4 linked regions of the Drosophila melanogaster genome follow. The protein of the gene in region 1 interacts with the protein of each later gene in a pairwise test. Each region holds a gene or a part of one and is shown on either strand. Other genes may lie near its edges.

What was found.
Region 2: the proteins of CG7745 (region 1) and ova interact in a two-hybrid assay, tested with the Drosophila melanogaster proteins (one large-scale study listed by BioGRID).
Region 3: the proteins of CG7745 (region 1) and CG31365 interact in a two-hybrid assay, tested with the Drosophila melanogaster proteins (one large-scale study listed by BioGRID).
Region 4: the proteins of CG7745 (region 1) and CG14074 interact in a two-hybrid assay, tested with the Drosophila melanogaster proteins (one large-scale study listed by BioGRID).

The regions. Positions count from the first base shown.
Region 1 is NT_033778.4:11,305,650-11,310,876, reverse strand, and holds CG7745 (uncharacterized protein), read right to left. Parts: upstream 2,999-5,227; 5' UTR 2,931-2,998; coding exon 2,780-2,930; intron 2,722-2,779; coding exon 1,352-2,721; 3' UTR 1,048-1,351; downstream 1-1,047. Other genes in the region: CG43114 (uncharacterized protein), read right to left, coding at 1-21; nompA (no mechanoreceptor potential A), read left to right, coding at 210-226; Fpps (farnesyl pyrophosphate synthase), read left to right, coding at 3,435-3,616, 3,918-4,012, 4,086-4,297, 4,357-4,718, 4,779-5,005, 5,066-5,227.
Region 2 is NT_033779.5:10,226,989-10,233,903, forward strand, and holds ova (ovaries absent), read right to left. Parts: upstream 4,705-6,915; 5' UTR 4,295-4,704; intron 2,968-4,294; 5' UTR 2,963-2,967; coding exon 2,717-2,962; intron 2,624-2,716; coding exon 2,426-2,623; intron 2,359-2,425; coding exon 2,197-2,358; intron 2,139-2,196; coding exon 873-2,138; 3' UTR 772-872; downstream 1-771. Other genes in the region: eEF1delta (eukaryotic translation elongation factor 1 delta), read left to right, coding at 5,585-5,671, 6,493-6,573, 6,769-6,915.
Region 3 is NT_033777.3:23,123,165-23,128,731, forward strand, and holds CG31365 (uncharacterized protein), read right to left. Parts: upstream 3,259-5,567; 5' UTR 3,179-3,258; coding exon 2,098-3,178; intron 2,032-2,097; coding exon 1,898-2,031; intron 1,838-1,897; coding exon 1,133-1,837; 3' UTR 798-1,132; downstream 1-797. Other genes in the region: CenB1A (centaurin beta 1A), read left to right, coding at 1-223, 279-465; CG31457 (uncharacterized protein), read right to left, coding at 3,544-3,881, 3,941-4,616.
Region 4 is NT_037436.4:18,863,440-18,867,931, forward strand, and holds CG14074 (uncharacterized protein), read left to right. Parts: upstream 1-2,785; 5' UTR 2,786-2,822; intron 2,823-2,880; 5' UTR 2,881-2,899; coding exon 2,900-3,910; 3' UTR 3,911-3,992; downstream 3,993-4,492. Other genes in the region: CG6865 (uncharacterized protein), read left to right, coding at 282-348, 817-1,155, 1,469-1,764, 1,827-1,982; Dysb (dysbindin), read left to right, coding at 4,441-4,492.

The sequences.
Region 1 (5,227 bases):
ACAGACGCGTAGGTAGTCCATGCTGATGAGTTGTCAGATTTCGACTAATAAGCTGGCAAGCTGGATGGCTGGCTGCGAAGGCGATAAACCAAACCATATCAGTCAAATGAATCTGAACTCATCACTCCGCCGGCTCTCTTACGAAATATTTGGAATAATAATATTAAGCTAGCTGATTAACGCTTGGTCGTGTTTTGTTTCGTTCACAGATCGCTGCGAAGTCTGACCATGGTGGCCGAGTCCGAGGACAATCAGGAGGTCTGAGATTGCAACTCCAAGCCTCCTGTGATTAGTTGTAAATAAGCTAAAGGTTTTTAACTTCAGTTAATCAAAGACAATCCGACAAGTAAACACATACGCTAGCCAAATGCGTGGGACCCTCGAATATTCGGTGGTCCATTAAGTAGCCTAAGAATTGCACCACTGACCAGTATCCAAATATTATGATCTTATTTATCTAAGCCTAACAACAGAAAACACAAGCAAGTAATTATTCTCTCTACCAGCTAAGATATGAAACGCAATAAAGCCTAAACATATTCATATCACCACAGACTTTCGTTCTGCCCAGAGGAATGCAAAGCTGATCGGTCATTAATCAACGTACAGGATTGCAATTGCAGTGGCACTTTGAATGGCCGCTTGGCCAGTCGAGGGTTAACGAGCTAGGCCAATTGCCAGTTGCAGTGGCAGTTTCCGTTGCAGACAGTAGCCAGCGGGTCTTAGTAGTTGCAATTGCATCCCGCTTTGTGGGTAATCGGAGGGTTGGTCAAAGGCCACTCATAAATCAAGCAGCAGGACGGCTACTGAACATAACTGAAATTGGACCTCAGTGGGTCACGAAGCTTTACATATCATTAGGAACTACTTTCTTTATGATGACTACACTACTTTCGCATATGCGGTTGTAAACTTTCGTGCCGAAAATTCCACTATCAGCATGCGAAAATGGATCACATCCAGAGAAAACTTACCACAAAGCATCGTAGCATCCATTCCTGACCCCTTTTAACAAAAATGCCCAAATACACATAAATTGCAAATTTTCACATTGGAAAGACACTTTTCCATTGAGTACACTTTAATAAGAATTTAAATAAATTAAAACCGATCATTATATTCTTAAACATATATAAAAAAACATAAATTAATGCAGATATGGAATCCCAATTGCTGGTCTTGACTAGCACATTTGAAAAGTGTTCGGTAGAACGTAGAGCTTTGCAAATGACTCATTGGTGGGAAATTTGACCAAAGCGATGCAATTACTATTATCTGACAACCGTCTAACGAATAACATAAGTTAAGGATAATAGATTACATTATTTACAAATACCTAGTAGCTAGCCCTTTAATCGTCGAAGAATAGTATTTCTAGGATCCGTTTCTGTGCACTTTTCTTCCGTTCCTTGTTCATTTTCAGCAGTTCCGTGGTGACTAATTCTCCCAGCAAATGCTCAGACAACCGCTGCACACCCGGATGATTGGGCGGCGCCTGGAATTTCCCGAAGTTTGCGGGATGCGAACTGCTGGCCTGATGTGGGAACTGCTGGTATAACTGGAAAAGGAAGTCCGTGTTTGACGGAAACATGTTCTGGTGCTGTTGCTGCTGCTGGTTGTTGTGGCTATTATTGCCGCTGGGATTGTTGCTCCCGCTATTGCTGCTACTGTTATTCCCATTTCCATTGCCCCGCTGCATGGGCATCGAATTGCTGTAGTGATTCTCCTGCTGCATCATAGCCTGCGGCTCCATCAGATCATGGCTGTTCTCATCGGATTCGTCGTCCGAGTCATTGCCAAAGTGACTACCATTGCTGGTCATCTGGTTATGGGCATTGCCATTTAGTTGAATACGGGGTTTCTTCATATGGAAATGGCTCGATGACGAAGAGTCTAGACCATCGCCCTTGGGGTTATAGACATGTGACTGTTGCATCTGCAGAGTGGAACTGTTGCCGATGGAAGCGCCCGTGGCGCTGGAAGAGGAATGTACCACCGGAAGCTGCTGTTCAGATGCCGGCGACTGTTGCTGCGCTTGTTGCTGCTGCTGCTGCTGTTGTTGTTGCGTCTGCTGCTGAGGATGATGGGATCCTGCCCCAATTCCTTGCAGCGGCGACGACAGCGGTGATTTCATCGAGGATGATGTTGAGGTCAGACTGCCAGCGCTGTTCTGGGCCCCGTTCATGCCCACGGAGCCATCCTTGTATTGATCCTGATAACCTTGCGAGGAATCAGCCATTACAGCTGCAACGGCCGCCGCCTGTTGCTGCATTTGTGACTGTGATATGTGCTGGAGCTGCTGTGAGGCCACGGCAGCCGCAAAATCCCTGAACACCTGGTCCGCCTCGATCTTCACCTGGCCATTGACGTTTTCCAGCGCAGATGCAGCAACGTTACTCAGAGCACTCATTGCGTGTTGCTGATCCGGCTGGTGGTAAAGATGACTTTGCCCTGAGCTGCCAAACTGAGACACATTCTTCATGGAGCCATTGGACTTATCAACCTGGTATTCGTTGTAGCCGGAGCTGTTGGCGGACTGTGGAGATGTTAGGAAGTTCGGCACATGGCGGTAGGACTTGCGCGGCTGGATGTGCTGGTCCAAGAACTTCATTTTCTCCAGGTATGGACGCGACAGGTGTTCGTAGACAGGTGGATCGCCCTGCTTCCGCTGCGACACGTAGCGTTCGCGTAGGTACTTCCACCGCTTCTTGCACGTGTCCACTGGAAAGGAGGGCAACATTTATATAGAGGATCTGCCGGAGGAGCGCGTCTTCCTCACCATCCGTGCGCAGCTTCATCGCAATCAGCTGCCAGGCCTCGTCCTTCGTCTCGTACTTGCCACCATTGGCGCCGCCGTTGAGGTAGTACTTCTGCCGGTTGTAGATCACTCCGTGCTGCGCTACCTCGTCAATTAGCTGCTCATCCATCATTTTAGTTTAATTCGTGTTTTCAGCTGCCAATTTGCCTTTGGTGTATGTCAGGCCATTTCCAACACTGTTCATGGGACATCGAAACAGTGTGACCGAAAATGTAGCAGCAGAGTGTCAAATATAATTTGAAGATATTGATATCGAAATATATTCGACAATTTGCATCATGTTTAAATTCGTCAGCATTTTGATTTATATATAGTAATGCATTTAATTAATTAACACGCAATAAAATTAATAATTTCAGCAAAAGTAAATCATTTGCTGTTCCTGAATTTACTAAATAAAAATGTTTAAAAATTTAACTTATAAGTTACCTTCACAAAATTCTCGAAAAATAAAAGTCAGCTATAAAATAGTTGCTATAAACGTATTATGGTTATTTGAAATTTTAAGGTGGGTTCTTTTGCGAACCGAGATTCAGTCACACTGGCAATTTGGTACCCGAAGTTGAATTGCCGTTTTGTGAAGCGGATAGTTACCTGCCGATAATCTTAAATAAAAATGTTTAAACTGGCCCGTATGCTCCTGCCGCAGCAGCGGATCCTGGCCAGCCCGCTGCGCCTGCAACGCCTGATCTCTACCAGCGACGAGGTCAACGCAGAGCCCATCATCAAGTCCATGGACACCATTGGCGGCCTCCCCACCGAACTGGTCAACGAACAGAAGCTGAAGAAGACTAGCAGGTAATCAATCTACCGGTTTTCGCACTTGACCTTTGCCTTGCCTGTTTGTTTTGTTTACATTTCGACCGGTATGGGCATGGGCATGGTATGCATGTATCGGAGGCCTGTTTTGGGCGTGATTTTCGAAAAGGAGTTTCGGGGTCTTTTTTTCTTGATTTCAAGTGGGGGAGAAAGTTTGTATCGAGCCGCTTATGCAGTCACGTAGACCATAGATGCGTGCATGTGTGTGTGTATGTATTTGTGCCTGCCTGGTGGTGTCAGTTATGGGCTCTATTGTTCTTGACTTTTGTTTTGTCCACAGAACCTTATCGACGCTCCAAAATCACTCGGTTCCCATTGCCGCTCGCGTCACGGTGTCGAAAGATGAGAGTCGCGACTTTATGGCCGTGTTCCCAGGTGAGATTTGTTTATTTATGCCCAGTAACAATTATCATGCAAATACTAATGCTAATTATATTTCGATGTGCAGATCTTGTGCGTGACATCACCACCGTGACGAAGGCATACAATTGCAGCGACGCAGCCAAATGGTTCGCCCAAGTCCTCCAGTACAATGTGCCCAGGGGCAAGAAGAACCGCGGCATCCTCACCGTGCTCACGTATAAGAATCTAGTGCCCACCCAGGATCTTACGCCGGAGAACATAAAGCTCGCCCAGTATCTGGGCTGGTGTGTGGAAATGGTAGGAGTTTTATGCATTAAATAGTTTTCCTAATACAAAGTTATCGATCATCTTTTCAGCTCCAAAGTTTTTTCATCATCTCAGACGATGTGATGGACAACAGCACCACCAGACGCGGCCAACCCTGCTGGCACAAGGTGGAGAACGTGGGCCTGACTGCCATTAACGATGCTCTTATGATTGAAAACGCCATGTATGCCATTCTCAAGAAGCACTTCAGCCACTTGGACTGCTATGTCGCCCTAATGGAGCTCTTCCACGAAATCACATACATCACTACCTGCGGACAATCGTTGGACCAACTGAACTCGAACCGCTGTGTCTCGGAATTCACAATGGAAAACTACAAAGCAATTGTCGAAAATAAGACTGCCTATTACTCCTTCTACCTTCCATTCGCACTTGCTTTGCACTTGGCTGGGTAAGTAATGGCCATACATATATAAGATTCCGCTTATTAATCTTCCGCTCTATTGTTTAGCTATAAAGACGCAGAGGCCTTCCGTCAATCGAAGACCATTCTCCTAGAAATGGGCAACTTTTTCCAGGTTCAAGATGATTTCCTCGACTGCTTCGGTAATCCGGAAGTGACTGGTAAAATTGGAACCGACATTCAGGACAACAAGTGCTCGTGGCTGGCAGTGGTGGCAATGCAGCGAGCCAATGTCGAGCAAAAGCAAATCATGGTCGATTGCTATGGCAAAGAAGGTAAAACTAGCTTAGCAAACCCGCACAATTAGACATTGACTTTTGAATATTAACCTGCAGAACCAGCTAAAGTGGAGCGAGTGAAAGAACTGTACAAGGAACTTGGACTGCCATCCACCTATGCCATTTTCGAGGAGGAATCCTACAACATGATTAAAACGCACATACAACAAACCTCACGCGGGGTGCCTCACCAGACCTTCCTGCAAATACTCAACAAAA
Region 2 (6,915 bases), on another chromosome or scaffold:
CCAAATTTATAAGACATTTATCCATCCATTTTATTCATTTTATATATGGATAATCGCTGTGATCACCGATATTTTTCTATTCCGGTGGAAAACATTTATATTTTCGTTTGCGACCGAGAAATTTCATATGATGATAAAATAAACATTTAAAATGTTGTCTTTCATATGTTTTGGCTTACATAAATTGGACTACTGTGGTATTCTTTGAAAGACGTTTTCAGTGAGAATGCATCGAGTGGAACAGTGTGGGAAAGAAACATCTGGGATGGTCTAAATTATATCAAATTCTTCATCCCATCGGAATGAATGGAAAATGCGATATAAAACTAGATATGCCAAACCAAAAGCAGCTGACGCGTACAGCTGAATCGCCTAAAATAGGCGGGGTGATGGTTAACTCTACAAAGGGCCAAGCCCACGTTGGGTTGAGGTACATACCGAAAAGACTGGTTCAAGTATCAATCATGGGATTAATGCTACTTTGTATTAACCCTGACGTCCCCTCTCTTTCTTTAATGACGTAATAAAATTATGATGTGACTCATAACCAAAAAAAATAAGCTTTTGAAGGTCATGTACTATTTACGTGTACTTTATGTCGATGCTTTCAAACAACCAGATCATCGATTAACGCTTCGAACTATGAAGAAAACGGATGGAAAATATGCTGATTACCATCTATACGTGGTAATAGAGATCCCAAAACAGTAGGGTTCCTCTACAGTATGTCTTTTCTTTAAAACGCAGAGAAAATGAATTTAGACATTATATATAAAAGTATTTAAACAAATTATTTATTCATATATGGTAATTCTTAGTTTAGGTTTTCTTGTAAAATAACAATTTCTTAACTTAACTATGGATTAAAATGTCTAAGAAGTTAAATCAATGGAAATTATACGCCCAGTGCCATTGAAAGGCGGAGCCGCGGAAATCGCATCAAACGTACTACTCTCAGTAGTCTGATTTGTAGTGCTTTTTTTCGAATTAGCCGAATGAGCGTACCAGTCTGTGAGTGCGACCAAGTTCTTAGAAAAATTGCAGTTTTCCTGATTGTATTCCTTTCTGTGTCCCTCAGAATCAGCAAAAGTATTCGATGTACTCAGGGAACCAACCAGTGAATGATTGGCTATCGAGTCTACGGTACAGCGACTAATTACTGAATTAGCCTTATAGTTTGAATAAATATATAAAGATTGCTGTAGGGGCTTAACCGAATTATCAACTATTACTGATTCTGGCTCTGGAGCACATTTACTTGGCTCGACGACGCGGCTACTGTACAAATTTCTGTTGTTATGTGTAAGTTTTATTACAGTCAGTGCATCCGAGCCAAGTCTTTTGGGCGAGCCTATTGCTGGCTCTTGTTGCTCATCGTCGTCCGAGGAGCATAAGTCAATTGTATCAACAACAACTTCCTTTGTGGGTGAAATTCTCCAGTGTGAGTTGAGCGAATTGTGGCGCGTTAGTCTTATATTGAGTTTTGTATTTGCAGTGTGATTTTGCTCTTCCATTACGTGTTCGGATATTTTTTTCAATCTGACTGATATTGGACGGCATTGTTTAATCAGCGGAGAGTTCAAAAACAAAAAGTTCTCAGTAGTGTCCCTGCGTTTAACAAATTGACGCCGCGGAAAGGAATATATGTGATAATTGTGTTCATGTGACTTTTTAAATGTACAATGCACTGTAGTGTTTGTTTTTTTTTCAAAATACTTTTGCTTGGTATTTGATTTATTGATCAATGGAGTGTAACAAAAGCGTTCCAGGCGTTCCTGTCTTTCCGCAATATAATCCATTGATATTGTTTGTTTTGTCGATTTTAACAATTGCTGTCCTGCAGGTGATGATATTGGGATAAACGAACACCTACTAAACGAATGAACTGTTCGATTTCTCCGCGATGGTAAACGCCTCTTTCTGTTTGATGTTTCCGTTGATGTTTCTTCGCTGAATGAATATGTTTTCTGTTTCTCTTTAGATAAACTATTATCGGAGAATTTGGGTTGCAGTTTAAAGTTTAAGAGAAAGGCGTTGCGCTGTTCGATATCTTCGTTTTTCCCATCACTTTTGTTATCTGGCTCAGGGGAATCACAAAGTATAACGTCATCCTCCATGCAACAAATGTTTTCGTGTTCCTGTTATGCAATAGAGTTATTAACTATTAACTTTGACAATCTTTGGCAATCAACTTACGAGTATAGCTTCTTTAGAATAAAGTTCGGCATCACAGTTGTCACATAGGTAGATATCAAAAGGTGGTGGCTCAACCATCATATGCTGTACGTTTTCGCTAATGGAACTGTTGTTCTTTTGCAGCAACAAGCACTTTCTGTTCTTTTGTTGTCTATCATATGACTGCAAAATAACCAATTCAGAATTAACTAATTTTAAAACCCAATTATTCAAAGTAGGCTTGGCTTACCATGTTTTCATTTCGAAATGTAACCAACAGTTTGTTGTTTCTCCTGTCATACAATGAAGTTGTTGAGTTATAATTGTTTATGAATCTTAAGCTCGCGTGTTCATACGCAGCTAAATCATTACAAAATCTTAATAGAAATAAGCTTTTGTGAAATTGATAGCATATAACCACAATTTCTTTCATTTTTTCCATCCAATTCTGTAAAATAGATACAGGTATATATTAGCCATTTATGGGGGTGAATGTTAAATATAAGCCATAGAAATCAAAAGGTAAGGGAAAAAAGCTTACCCCAACAAATGCTTTCGGCTTTTTGAGCGGAATCTCGAAAGGAGCGCTTTCGGGCCACCATTCTGGTTCACTGCAATCTATTTTCTTTGGTAAGTTTATGTGTCCTAAAGAGCATTGCACCATGAAGGGAATAAAATTTTCTAACTGGGACTCCGTAATTTTTTCTAGGGATGTTGGATATCCGTTCGCAAACAAAAGTGGTAGGTTGGATATCATGTTGTGTTGAGCTTTATCTTTTTCATCCATTGTCACTGCAAGTGAATTAAAATGTTATATTTTATTGCCATGTTATCGATAGTTTTCCAAGATAACCGATTAAAACGATTACATATGTATAACATATCTACTTAAAAATTTAAAACTACTAAACTTTCCTAAAACCAAACCAAACAAACGATTTCAAATATTTATTAGCAGTTGTGATAAGTAAGGGGCGCAGTATATGGATCTAGCTGTGTCCGTATGTCTGTCCGTCCTCATGAACGTCGAGATCAATAGAGAATACTGAGGGTGATGAGTAAACTCAATTAGGTACCGTGTAATAGTTGTTCTATAGTCCTTGAAAAGTATATAATGATCATCTGCCTGTCCGTCCTGATGAAGGCCAGTTACTCGTAAAAATATGAAACTAACAAGTCTTTACAGCCTTGATCCGGATTACTAGCCATGTCGATACAGCCATAACTGACTGTAAGTCCGTATTTGTTCGTATAATCGTAAAGCCCTCAGGTACTATTAAAGCTACCCTGGAATTGAATTGCCACGTACATTGTGACACCTAGGGATCAAGGTCTAGAATACATAACTGTTTACGTCCTTTTTGTTCTAGAAATCTCTAGTTTAGTGACCGCAAACATTACTTTTTTGCAGGACCATTTTATGAACGGTCACATTAAAAAATGGCGAGTGATAACCACAAAATGGCGAAGATACAGACTGTCAAGTCCGTGGGGACAATCGATAAAGGTATCGATGATTTTTTTTTGCAAAATTACAATCCTTGAAATGTACCTTTATTAGGTACTATATATCGTATACACATTGTACCAATAAAGTACAGCAATATGATTAAACTTTTTTTTTTATAAAATACTTGTTTTGCCAAAGGCGTTGCCACTTTGGTTTAGAACCAAAGCTAGTGGTTACGCCTAGCGATTTCATGAAATTGACATGAAGTGGAATGTTCCCACTTACAGGTTTGTGCGATATCGCTTCGCGAATGCTAACTATGCAGTTTATACGAGTTATATATTCTTGTGGCGAGCCACGACCAGCGTTTCACTTTTGCAAAAGGGGCAGCTCATAAACCTTGCGTCTAACTGCAGATTTCCTTACTGAAAAACCACGAATTGCTCTCATATGTGTACATGCACACACACGCACACACACACGAAAAACACACATATGTATTCCAAGGGAAGTGGAATAAGTTTGCAAATAAAATTTTTACTGCATAACTTGGGACATTTTTATACGTAAACACACTCACACAAGCACTTCTAGATAATTATACATAAACACAAATATTCATATGTTAAATGGAGTCATCACAATTATGCTGTGGTATAAATATCCCACCTGATTTAGACGAGTGTATGTAATACACTCAACGAAAATTACTATGTTCAGCATCATTTGAAATATAATTTGAATAGTACACACTTATACGTTAAACTGGTTGATAACGAACATTTCGACACCGATTTTGTATGGCAATACATTAAACTCAGTGCTCTGGAATGCTCAGTGCTCTCTGCATATACATATCACTGAGTGAATCCATTAGAAAGGAGTCTCAAAAACCGATCAAAATAGAATCACCATCAGTACGCACCAAGAATTCGCAATGATTAACAAAACGGTAGACACCGAGATCTACAATCACAAATATGATAACATAGTTACAGTACACAACACTTTCTTCGTAAAAAAACCATTTGTTGTAGTTGCTATCGAATAGTCGAAGTGAGAACTGACTGCTAAATGGCTGAAATAATTGTGACAAATACTACCCAGTCTTCAAATTGAAACGCGGAAATGGAACAAAATGTGATGTTGCACTTTTACTTTGCTCTTAAAAAAGTTTTTTACTGTAAATAAAATACATGTACTGGAATTTTTGTGTAAAATCGACATCGAATTAATTCGATTCCATCAAACACAGCTGACGCAAACATCTGTTAATCTCTTATACAAAGTAAAGGAGAGTTGTATACCTTTAAAAAACTTTAAAACATTTTTTTTATTATGGTATCTTTTTCTAGCTTTTTAGTAGCACACAAGGACGAGGTCCGTGATATAAAAATTTTGTTAAAGAGAAGAAGAAGCATTAAATAGTTAAGTGGAAGATAATATATAAAAAAAGTATCCCTCTGTATCCCTCTTTCATCAAACCTCTTCACGCAACGACGACAATTGTGGTGAACATTTCGTTGCAACCCATCACAAGCAATAAATCAACTGATGACAAGTATACACACATGTTGATCCGCAGGCCTGTGCAAAAGTTCGTCAAACATCGATGAGGTGCCACGTGGAACTTACATTTTGCTACGTTGAGATCAAACTTTTTTTTTATTTCTTTCCGGGCACTAATAAGTGTTTCAATTTATGGACGTTTTGTAAAAATTGCAATAAATTTGTTTATTTACTCGCACATCAAAAAGCAGTTCGTATGAGAATGAGAACGTGTTAAAAATTTGGTTGAAATAAAAATGTCGTGTTTCATTTCCATCGTTTCAGTAGCAATAAAAAACGAATCCGATGGCGTAGATATCGATATACCTGCATTCCCTTTCAAACGTGTTATCGTATTGTTCAGCCAATTGTGCAACGTGTTTGAGTAAATCTGCGGGCGAAAGACTAAAAATGAAAGTAGAGGCATTGGACAAATTCTGGGCTGACAAGAGCCGCTACGATCTTGCCGAGAAGCGATTCTACGAGGGTCCCCAGAAGGTAAAATCTCTAAGCAATCACAGCCATAAGTACTTAAGTTGTTAGCCAGTTTCACGTGGCCGGTAAATCAGTTCAAATGGTTTCGGCAATGTTTATTGCAAATCTGTTTGTTTTAACAGCAAGGACGCCGAAACACACATGTTCTAAACTTCAATACATACGTAGAATGATCTATTAAAAGATTTCTATATTTATCTGCCTTTGATTTTCAATTGCTGTGTTCATATTGCACATTACATTGGTATATTCTTGTAGCTGTATGTAACAGGTGAACGTTTAACACTTTTAAAAAATATAACTATGTGCGTAAAGTGTATACAAAACAGAGTGTGAGAGAAAACTAACTCTGGCAAGCCAAATTTTGAATACACTTTCCGTTTGGCAATTGGTATAAATACAAAATATAGTATGCAAAACATAAGTACTTAACATGACACCTACACAACAAAATTCGTTTATTCAATGGAAATGTGCCAAAAACAAATCGATGTATACAAAGTTAAAACCTATTGAAATTCAGGGAAATACTATAGTTAAGTAAAGGTTTAAACACGTTGTATTCTATCTACACAAATATACTACACAAAATGCATAGCACTGCATTGTATAATATTTAAACTACGTACAATTTTTGGGCTGATTAGAGTGAGGCTTATCAGTATTTCAGCATGCTTGCATGACAACAGACTTGAAGTAGATGCCCGTACATAAAACATCTCATTTTGCTTAAAAATTATTATCCCTAGAATCCTTTGTCAACCATTCGATACACCAAATGTCAGTTCACACAAGTAATCAATGGTGTTGTCTTATTTTTAAAGGTAACTGATCGCAGCCACTACAGCCCATTAGTAAGCGAAATCGCAAAGGCTAGGGAACACATACAGAACTCGCTGGAAAAGGTAACTATTGTGATAAATCTTTGTATTTCAACATTTGATTTGTTCACATTCCTAGGTTTCTTTCGGTTTCTTTAAAACTTTGTAGAGAATTGTATAATTATTATTTACAATATATTTAGTCTGTACTTATGATCAACATATCCCAATGAGGACTTGAATTTGAATTATTAATCAAGCCTTTTGTGTGTGTTCCAGATCGATGGCGTTACTCTGGACGATGGCTTAAATTCCGAGCTGGCCAAGCGTCTGGCCCAATTGGAGGGTGAACACAAGGAGTTGAAGACCCAGGTTTCCTTGTTGAACGAACTTTTGACTGCCACAGTGAAGCGCTTGGAAACTCAG
Region 3 (5,567 bases), on another chromosome or scaffold:
CCGGCTCCGTGATGGCCTGCGAGTTTTTGCTACTAAACGGAGCCGCCATCGATGCTGTGGACGAGATGGGCTACAGCGCCCTGCACATATCAACGGCCAAGGGTCACATCGCCCAAGTGTATTTGCTGTTGAAGCATAAAGCTGCATACGACCTCTCCTCCAGTGACGGAAAGAAGGCTCTGGACATTGCAGTGGACCAGGAAAACGCAGACATTGTAACGCTGTGAGTAAGAAAGCAGAGCTTCAATCCGGCAGATACATAACCATTCTTGTTTCAGACTCCGATTGACACAACTGAATGACGAGATTGGACCCAACGACGAGTACAATGGCGAAGATGAGACGTACAAGAACGTAATGAAGGACTTCTCCAAGTTACCAGCCAGCCAGACGCGAGTTCTGCGCCAGCGGCACGACTCAAATACACTCGAATCGCAGCGCAGCTCGCTTACAAACTCCGACTAGCAGTGGCAGAAGGGCCGCAAGAGTTAGGACCTTACTGGATATTATGGAATAATTTGTTCCAATTATTAGGATAGCGTGATATTGGATTGTTATTGGCTTTATAACGCATTAACCAGGAATGTTAAACGGTTTCGACCTCTAAGGATGTCGTTGCGGGCTTGTTTCCCTTGGTAATCTCATTTGAAAAGCGCTTCCGATTATACAAGAAAATATTATTCATTGCATTTGGCATTCGAATGGCAGGCACGATCGTTCGTTTTCTCTTAGGCGCATTTTGAATCCGTTTTTGGCGATTAGCTTAAGTTTAAAGTATTCGTAGAGCAGTTGAGTTTATTAAAAATACGTATATTTGCCTATAAAATTGTACATCGTCTTATGTGGTATTTATTAAACGATATTGTAAAATGTACGTCTAGCTATATGTATCTTGTTACAGAGCTGTTCCAAATGTTCCGATTTGTATTTGTTTGCTAAACTGTTTAATGCTGCATGTTTCTAAATGTTTTAACGCTATCATGTTGATGATTTTTGGTGCCAACTGTTGTGAGCACTCTAGGTTCGCGAATAAAGTTGTAAAATATTCAGATCAATCAAAGTTGGTCTCTTCAGGTGTAAAACATGGTGGTCCAATCTGCGGTGTATTGGTAAAACATGTCCAGGGACTATTCTAGGCCACAGCTTGAAACTCGTTCGTCTCGGATATGTAGTCTGTGAGCTTGTTCTTCACCTTGTGCATTGTGGTTACATGTCTCTGGACCGCACTGCGATCGTTAAACTGACGGCCGCACTGTTTGCAGGAGAACATGACGCCAGCGTGGGTGACCAGATGGCGACTGAGGCCCGAAACATGATTGAAGCTACGATGACACAGATGACACTTGTGCGTCCGAGAGTTGCCCATATGCACGCGGCCAATGTGCTGCTGCAGGTTGGACTTCTGGGCAAAGCAGCTCGAGCATTGGGGGCACTGATGGCGCTTTACTCCCGTATGGGTGTCCATGTGACGCTTGAGCACTTCGCGCTGGGAGAAGGACAGTTCGCACTCGCTGCACTTGAAGGGTTTCAGGCCCGTGTGGATAATCATGTGGCGTTTGAGCGAGCTGGCGCACGACAGTTGCAGTGCGCAGCTGGGACACTTGAGCGTGCCGCCCTTTCCACTTTTCAGTCCCTTAATGTGGGTGTTGTGGTGGCGCGTCAGAAGTTTCTGCGTAGGAAATGCCACCGGGCACAAATGGCACTGGAACGACTTCACCGTGTCCGTAATTCGACCGGTTTTTGGTTGAGGACAACTGGACTCCTGCTTGAACACCAACTCACTCGATCTCTTTCGTTTGAGGGGCGTCTGCTCATCTCTATCGTTCTGTTCTTTTTCCTACAGATAATAAGATCCAAGTTGAATTCGAGTTCAATTTAAAATCACACGGTTAGTTACCACTATAATGACATTTTCATGGAAGCTGAAGACCTGTTGCTCCTGAGATATCTCCTCGCCCAGATTAAACACGACCACGTCTTCGATTTCCTCTGGCTTTTCGCCACTGAACTGAATTTCGCCGTCTTCTTTGACTAAGCAAAGAATTTAATGAAATGAAAATTTTTTCACATTTTTTTTGCCAAATTATACCCACTTACTGTTATAGGAGGTGATTCCGTTGTCCTGGTCAAATTCGGGAGTGGAGTCCTGGTTTTGATCCTCTGAGCTGGCAGAGTTTATGATGTAAATCTCTCCATTGTCTGTGTGCACTACATCTGATCCAACCATGTTGATTTCCCTGAAGTCTTCACCGCTTTCCGCGGGCACTTCCTCGTCCAGTTCGAGGCCATCTATGTTTACATCGCTATTATTTGCGGGGTCGGTATTGCAGCCCAATATGAATTCCTCTTCTTTTGCATCCTTCCTGGCCTCTGTCGCCTTTAGATTGGCGTCGACCAAGCTGGGTCGTCGCTTTGGAAGAGCTTTAGTTTTTGACCTAGAAGGGGAGGCATCTTCCTTGACTTGCGGCTTGGTCTCTGGTTCGGACCCATCCAAAGACTCCCACCGACCGGCCTTTTTCTCGGTAAGATACACCTCCAATTCGCCCAACAGCATGGCCAGCTGCTCTTTTCTTATGTCCTCGCTCACCTCGTTTCGCAGGTCATCTCTAACCTGGCTGCGCACCTCCTCGGCCAGCTCCTTGCGAACCTCACTGCGCACCTCCTCCGCTAGTTCCTTGCGCAGTTCGGTGGTCAGTTTCGCTCGAAGTTCTAGACGAGATTTGACCAGCCGTTTGTGCATTTCCGCCGCCTGTTCTTCCTTAAAATCTTCTCGCCACTTTTCGTCCTCAAGCTTGCGCACTTTGTCCTGCACCTCGATGAAGGCAATAGAGTCCTCGAACTCCAGCTCGTCCTCGTCATAATCGTCCGGATCCTTGGAGAAGACGCGGCTTCGCTTCCCGAGACCCAGAAGTCGGATATGCTTGCGAAGCTTCTTCTCCGCCCATTGGCAGCGCTGCCGGAACAGGAATGACTTCTCCAGCTGATAGCGGCACTCCTGGCAGATCCTCTTCGGCAGAGTATCCGTCGCCTTGGCGTCCAGTGCGACGCAGGCCATCAGGCGCACGGGTATCGAGAGCTGGGTGTCGTCCTCGTCGAAGATCGCGTACGCATCCTGGTGCTCCTTGAGGCAAAGGCGGCACAGGGTCGCCAAATCGGGATACGACGGCTGTGCATCCATGAAGGCGTCTATTTTTGGTAAATCAACGTATTTACTCGGTGGCGTCTCTGCATCGCAAGCAATGTGACCGCAGACAGGTTCGCTAAAAATACCTCCTCTCGAAACGAAAGCAATACAGTCACACTGTTCGTAAATAAACAATTTGATATATACGGCCCATAAACGTATCATAACTTAATTTATTAATGTAAGGTTTAAAGGTATTGATTTTCATACAAATCCAATGCATACCGAATGTGCATATTTAAAGTTTAATAGAATACAATGACAATTAAAATAGGTGATGGCTTAGTCAAATATGCGTGCACAAAAAAAGGTACTATTCTTATAATATAGAGGATTAAACTAAATTCGTTGTTACGTGGCTACGTCACGGTGTTATTTAGCTTATCCGCTCCTCTTAGACGACAGCGCACACAACTTTTGAAATCGGCGTACGAACTGCTGCATTTTGTCTTGAAGGAACTGTGCTTTCGGCACAGGTTATCGGTCGTCTGCTTGGGGCTCATAAAGCGCACTTTCTTTCGACACGGCGATGGGGTTTTTACATCCTCTAAGGCAGTTGTGTTGGCACCCAGAAAGGTGTCCTTGCTATAGTCGTTGCGCAGATGACTCAGCTGCGGGTCGTTCATGTTGATCTCAACCATGGGCACAGCAACTAGTGGCGTTGCAGCTGGCTGTCTGCTGGCTTCTGGTTCATCGTCTATTACATTTGAGAAATATATAAGTCGTGCAATTGCAAAGTAAGTGGGCTGGTCTTACCCAGTAACTCCACCACGCTGTTATCGCTCTGCTCCCTTAGCTCCTGGCCCATGTCTGTTTCGTAGAAGCCAGCGGTCTGTTCGTCAGGCAGCGGACTGCTTAAGTTCATCTTCATCTCATAGGTCGCCTCATTGCGCTTGCGCACAAAGTACCGTTCCAGTTCGACAAACACGTCGTCCAGAACGCTCAGTCGCAACTGCTGCTTGGCTTCGGGTATGATGACCTCTTCGAGTTCCGCCCGCAGCTCCAGCTCGATTTCCGCCCGCACAGCTTGCTTGCAAGTGCTGAGCAGCTCCTTTTTATACGCGTCGATCTCGCTGCTAATGAGCTGGGCGGCCTGCTGGCGCCACTGGGCATTGTTCTCGGCGCAGCCAGTTTGCGTGCATCCTTCCCCGGAGCCCCGCTCCTCCTCCACTTCACTCAGCTGCGACTTGACACCCTGCCGCTGCAACGCCTTGTGGCGCCTCAATTTGCGATCGGCTGCGAGGCAGCGTCGTCGGAAGCAGTGCATCTCCTCCAGTTGCAGCCGACACATGGTGCATATGTGCTGTGGCAGACCGTCGCCGGGCTCGATCTCCAGCGATGTGCAGACCATTATCTGCAGAGCAGTCGATCCATTTGCACCGAAAACGGGGAAATTGGGTTCCTTCGACAAGCACAGGCGACAAACATTCATGTTGAATTTCAAGGCAATTCGGAGCGTGGCAGCCGGACACCTGATTAGGCACGATTCGGAATGATGGACAATCTAGCAATCTTTCCAAGCAACCAGTTTAGAATATGAAACAAAAAAACATTTGAAGACAAATAACTAAAATTGGAAGCGGAGGAATTTCCTACTAGGAAACATCAACAAGTCTAGCCGATTTGTTATCGATATTTTCAGTGTGGCCATGCGGTTGAGAGAATGCATTTTAGTATTTCAAGGCTGGCTGCTCTGCCATTGATGTGCCCGTATTTCAGCAAGGCGCTTGGCGGGAGAATTTCAAATAGTCAAAATTTTACAACGATACTATAGCGCTCATTTGAATAACCTGAAATGCAGCAATAACACACATTCATTTATCAAACAATTTCTTTATATTTCATTAAATATTAAGTATAAATACGCAGTTAACTATTAAGTATTATATACACAATTACAATAAGATATTCAGTCACTATAATGCTTCTTCTATATACAAAGTACGATATATATTATATCAAAGGGCTTGAACTCGCCGCCGCACCTCAATAAATTATGCAATTCAATTCCATGATAATATACAGTAACAGTCGTCTGTGTTCTCCGGGAGTTTGCCGATTGATTTTCTCAGGATGATTTAGGATCTGCGCCGAGGATTGCCTACTTACAGCTAAAATGTTTGCAAAAACAATAAGTCAAGGACATTTAACAGTGTTTTCATTTCGTTTCGCATCGTTTTGATTTCATACTCATTTGCTCTTTGCTTTATCGCTTGGGTGGGGTGTTTTGTGTGTGGGTTTTTGATTTGTGGTGGTAAATAAATAGTATCGATCGATTATTAACGATATTCAACATTGAAATACATCAATCATTAGGCATATACATAACTACAGGATATAATACAATACAGGATCGTTGGGATCAGGATCGCTCTTCCAGGAT
Region 4 (4,492 bases), on another chromosome or scaffold:
AGTGCAGCGCAAAAAAAGCTCTCAGCTGAGGCAACAGGTGCCAAAGGCCCGGCTGCGACTTCCGTTTGTTATCAGGCCGAGAGAGCGAGCTTTCCGGCTAATCCGCATAGAACTCCGGACGACAGTGAAGTAAGTCAGTGGAACGGAGAGGCGCTGGACGCCCAGACACCTATATATAAATTAATTGCCGCACAGAATATTCGTGGCAGTTTCGTTTAAGCTTGAGCCGTGCTTAACGGGTTTTTTTTCGGGGCTAAGAACACTGGTTGTGCACACAGAAAATGTTGAAAATCGTATTCGTAGTCGCGGTTCTGTCGCTAGTGAAGTGTGCACAATCCCAAATTGCTTGTGAGTTGATTGAACAAATGTGACGAAAAGAGTAATAAGTCAAATATAATATGAAAAATAAAATAATTATAGTTCCTAAATTAGGATTCCTGGGAACTACCTTTTAACTTTTAACTTGTGTTTAATATTCCATTCATTTTTGCAGTCCTTAATATTTTAGGTTAGTTTATATCAATTAAGAAAGCATGATCTTTTAGCATTGTGGATTTATATGCTAAATTCACTGGATAAATCTAACATCTAATGTTCCAATTGCAACAGTTTATGCTTCCCTATTTGATAAGAACTCAACCTACAAATATTTCAAGATTCTATCAAAACTTGTATAATCATAAAACGTGCATAAGGAAAAGTTTACTAGATTATGAGAAATATAAATAAATGCGTTCTGCTTATATTAACTAATTATTTTCAACACTCCTTATCATGAACTCACGCAAATTGAAATTCCTCTGACTCCCATGACAGTTAGCAACCAGCCATGCTCGGTTCGAAATCCAAAAATCGTGGGAGGTAGTGAGGCGGAGCGCAACGAAATGCCCTACATGGTCAGTCTGATGCGTCGTGGTGGTCACTTTTGTGGCGGCACTATCATCTCGGAGCGATGGATCCTCACGGCGGGACATTGCATCTGCAATGGGCTGCAGCAGTTCATGAAACCAGCTCAAATCCAAGGAGTTGTGGGTTTGCATAGCATCAGGGAGTACCTCAACGGGATTGGCAACGGTCCGGATGCACTGAGGGTGGACTTCAAGAACATTGTGCCCCATCCGCAATACGACTGCAACGATGTGAAACACGATATAGGTATGTGTGTTTTTTAAGGGGTAATTGCAGGTTCAATTATTTTCCATATGTACAGAACTGAATCATAAATCAACAATATGACATTAACATGACATTATTTTTCAGTAAAATGAATAAAAAATTTTAATCTAGTAAAACACCATTAAAAATATGCGCTTAGGTTTTAAAAAAACAAACAGAAATACATAGGTAGGAAATAGTTTCAACAAAGGATATTAACATTAACCATAATGAATCAGAGACGAATCAAATAATACTTATTATTCTTAGTATTCCTTAAGCTATTGCAAATTGGTATTTTATTCTTTTACAGCCCTCCTGGAGCTGGTACAGCCAATCCGATTCTCTTCACACATCCAGCCCAGCTGCGTGGGATCCGAGGAGGGGCACCGAAGTCTGGAGCAGGAGTACGGAACAGTTTCCGGTTGGGGCTGGACGCACGAGAACCAAGCGGAAAACGATCGATCCGATGTACTGCGCAAGGCTACCGTTAAGATCTGGAACAACGAGGCGTGCGAGAGGTCCTACCGATCCTTGGGCAAGAGCAATACCATTGGAGAGACACAGTTGTGTGCCGGTTATGAAAACGGTCAAATCGACTCGTGTTGGGTGAGTATTCACTTGGCTGATACGGCACACATGTTATGCTCCGGGTTTACTTACCTTCACAGGCGGATTCTGGCGGTCCGCTGATGTCCAAGGAGCATCATCTGGTGGGCGTGGTGTCCACGGGGATCGGCTGTGCACGTCCAGGTTTGCCCGGAATCTACACGCGCGTCAGTAAATACGTGTCCTGGATGCAGAAAGTGATAGACGGCAGGAAATAGTTGGCCAGGAATCTGAAACATAAAGATTGTGATTCACCTGTGATATTAGTCGTACTCGATTATGTGATCTTCTTCAATAAACGTTACTTTAACCAACTAGAAATTCAATTTATTGCGGCCGGTCGTCATTTTTTAAACTTTAATCGATGATTGTGCCAATCGATATCGTTGGACTAATTTGTGGTATTTTGCAGAAAAGATTACTCTGACAATATTAATCGACAAGAATATCGCTAGTGTAGGAGGAACGGAGGAACGATGGAATTTTGAATAATTTATTCTTTCATTATTGAATTCAAAAAAATGCAATAACGTTTAAAAAAATATCTAACTACCTATGTACGACTTAAGTTCATAGGACTCAAGAAAGTATATGAAATATGCACTTGAAAACTTGGCTCCCCACGCTTACTGTCCCACCTGCTGCCCCGCCCGACCGACTGTCACCCGTGGCCCAACGAATGTCTTGACGTCTGCCCCGCCGTTTCCCTAAAGAAATGTCCTTAAAAGTGGTCACGCTCTACGAGTGGAGAAATTCCCGAAAATGTGGGAATAGTTAGTAAGATCTTTATTTTATTTTTTGCAATTCACCTCCAAATAACGAAAAGAAATAAATAAATAAAAAACGTCCCCATGTTTTGATTTCCACCGTTCCGTCATCGCCGCGAACTCATCGACGCTAATTTAACGCACATACAATAATCGCTTTATACTTAGTATTTTAAAAATACTTATAAGTAGCACTTACCGTCCGCGGTATTTTTTGTTTCGCAGCAATTGGTATTCAATTAAATGCCATAAACAAACACAAAAAATGGAAATGGACGCAGACCTAACAAAGTAAATATTTATATTACAATCCGATATATTTTTAATTAATTTGATGCTCTCACGTTAGTCAGGCGATTGCCGAGCTAATGCGCGAGATCGAAGGTGCAAATGCCAGTGTCAGCACCTCGAAACAAAGCGAACGCAAAGTGAATCCTCTGGGCAAACTAAACAAACGCTTCTTAGGCCGCACCATAAACACCGCGATTCGGCATAATGATAGAGAAAAGGAGCGCACACAGGCAAATTGCCGACAGAAGCTGCAGGATCTGGATGATGTGCACGAAAGGAGGAAGTCCAACTACTTTTACAGCCGCGATGCACCCAGAACTCAAAGTGTTGATAGAAGCAGAAGTTCCAGCAGAAGGCGCAGCAGGAGCCGCCACAAAAAGGCCAAGAAGCATCGCAGCCGAAGAAGAACTAGGAGCAGCAGAAGTTCAAGCCGCAGTCGAAGTCGCAGCAGTTCACATCGGCGAAAAAAGCGCAAAAAGAAGGTTAAAAAACACAAAAAATCACACAGAAGACGAAGAAGCAGCCAGAGCAGCAGCGGTTGCGATTGGGAATCCGCACCCAGCGAGTCGTTACGTATACCCCCGCCTTCAGATGTGTTCCTAAACCACTCCAAGCAAATGGCTCTTGCAGTGGCCATGGCCTATGGTCAATTACTAAACCCGAGCAGCCAAAAGAAAGCCAGCGAGTCTAAGGAACACTCCTCCTCTCCTATAAGCGATATATTCCGGGAACTTATGTCCGACGAAGAGGTGGACAAATCCGAGAAGCCCGAGGCCCTGTCCATTTCATCCAGCGACGAAGAGCCAAATGTTCTCACCATTAAAGTAAGCTCGAGCTCCGAGTCCAGCGGCAATAAATCAAGCTCGGACTCAGATTCAGAAGCAAAGAACAGCGTACGCAGCTGTATAACCCTAGAATCTGGTGATAATAGTGATATTGAGATAATTGAGTACCATGAAGAGCCCAAAAAAAAGGCATGTGAAACTGAACCTGCGTCTGAACCTGAATATCCGTCTCAATCGGATAGCACAAATCAACAAGTGGACGATAGCACAGCTGTCACTACAGTGGACCTGACCGAGGATTAATTAGGCTAAACTTTAGTTAGAGAATCGTTATGTAAGATCAGAATGAAATTTTAAAGGAAACAAACTGAAGTTGAACCAAACTAAGAATATTGTTTTTATATTATTATTACAGATATAAGCTCTGCCATAGATAGATTCATATTTGGTTGGTTTTTTTTTAAGTTATGTTTAATAGTAATATACTAAATATACCACCGAATGATACCCTGTTGTGTCTGTTTATAATATCAACTTTGGGTTCATTTTTTTATTTAAATTATAAAATAAAAATGCAAAATTTGAAATGTTAATAATACTTATTAGTTTTAGTAAGTAATAAAAACCACGTGCCAGAGCTCTTGCCATAGTTGATATGCCTCTCGTGTACGGCAACAAACTGTTGCTCTCTCTCTCTCTCTATGACCGATTTTCTCTCAGCACCTGCCCGAACAGCTGATTCTTTATTTACCACTCAATTTTCGATGGAAAACGCCAGCGCGAAGACAATTAGAAATCGCTAAGTTAAATAAATAGAGATCCGTTGTCGCAAGATGTTCGGGAACCTGAAAAAGAAGCTTAGCAGTGCGATCCAGGAGGGCCTGG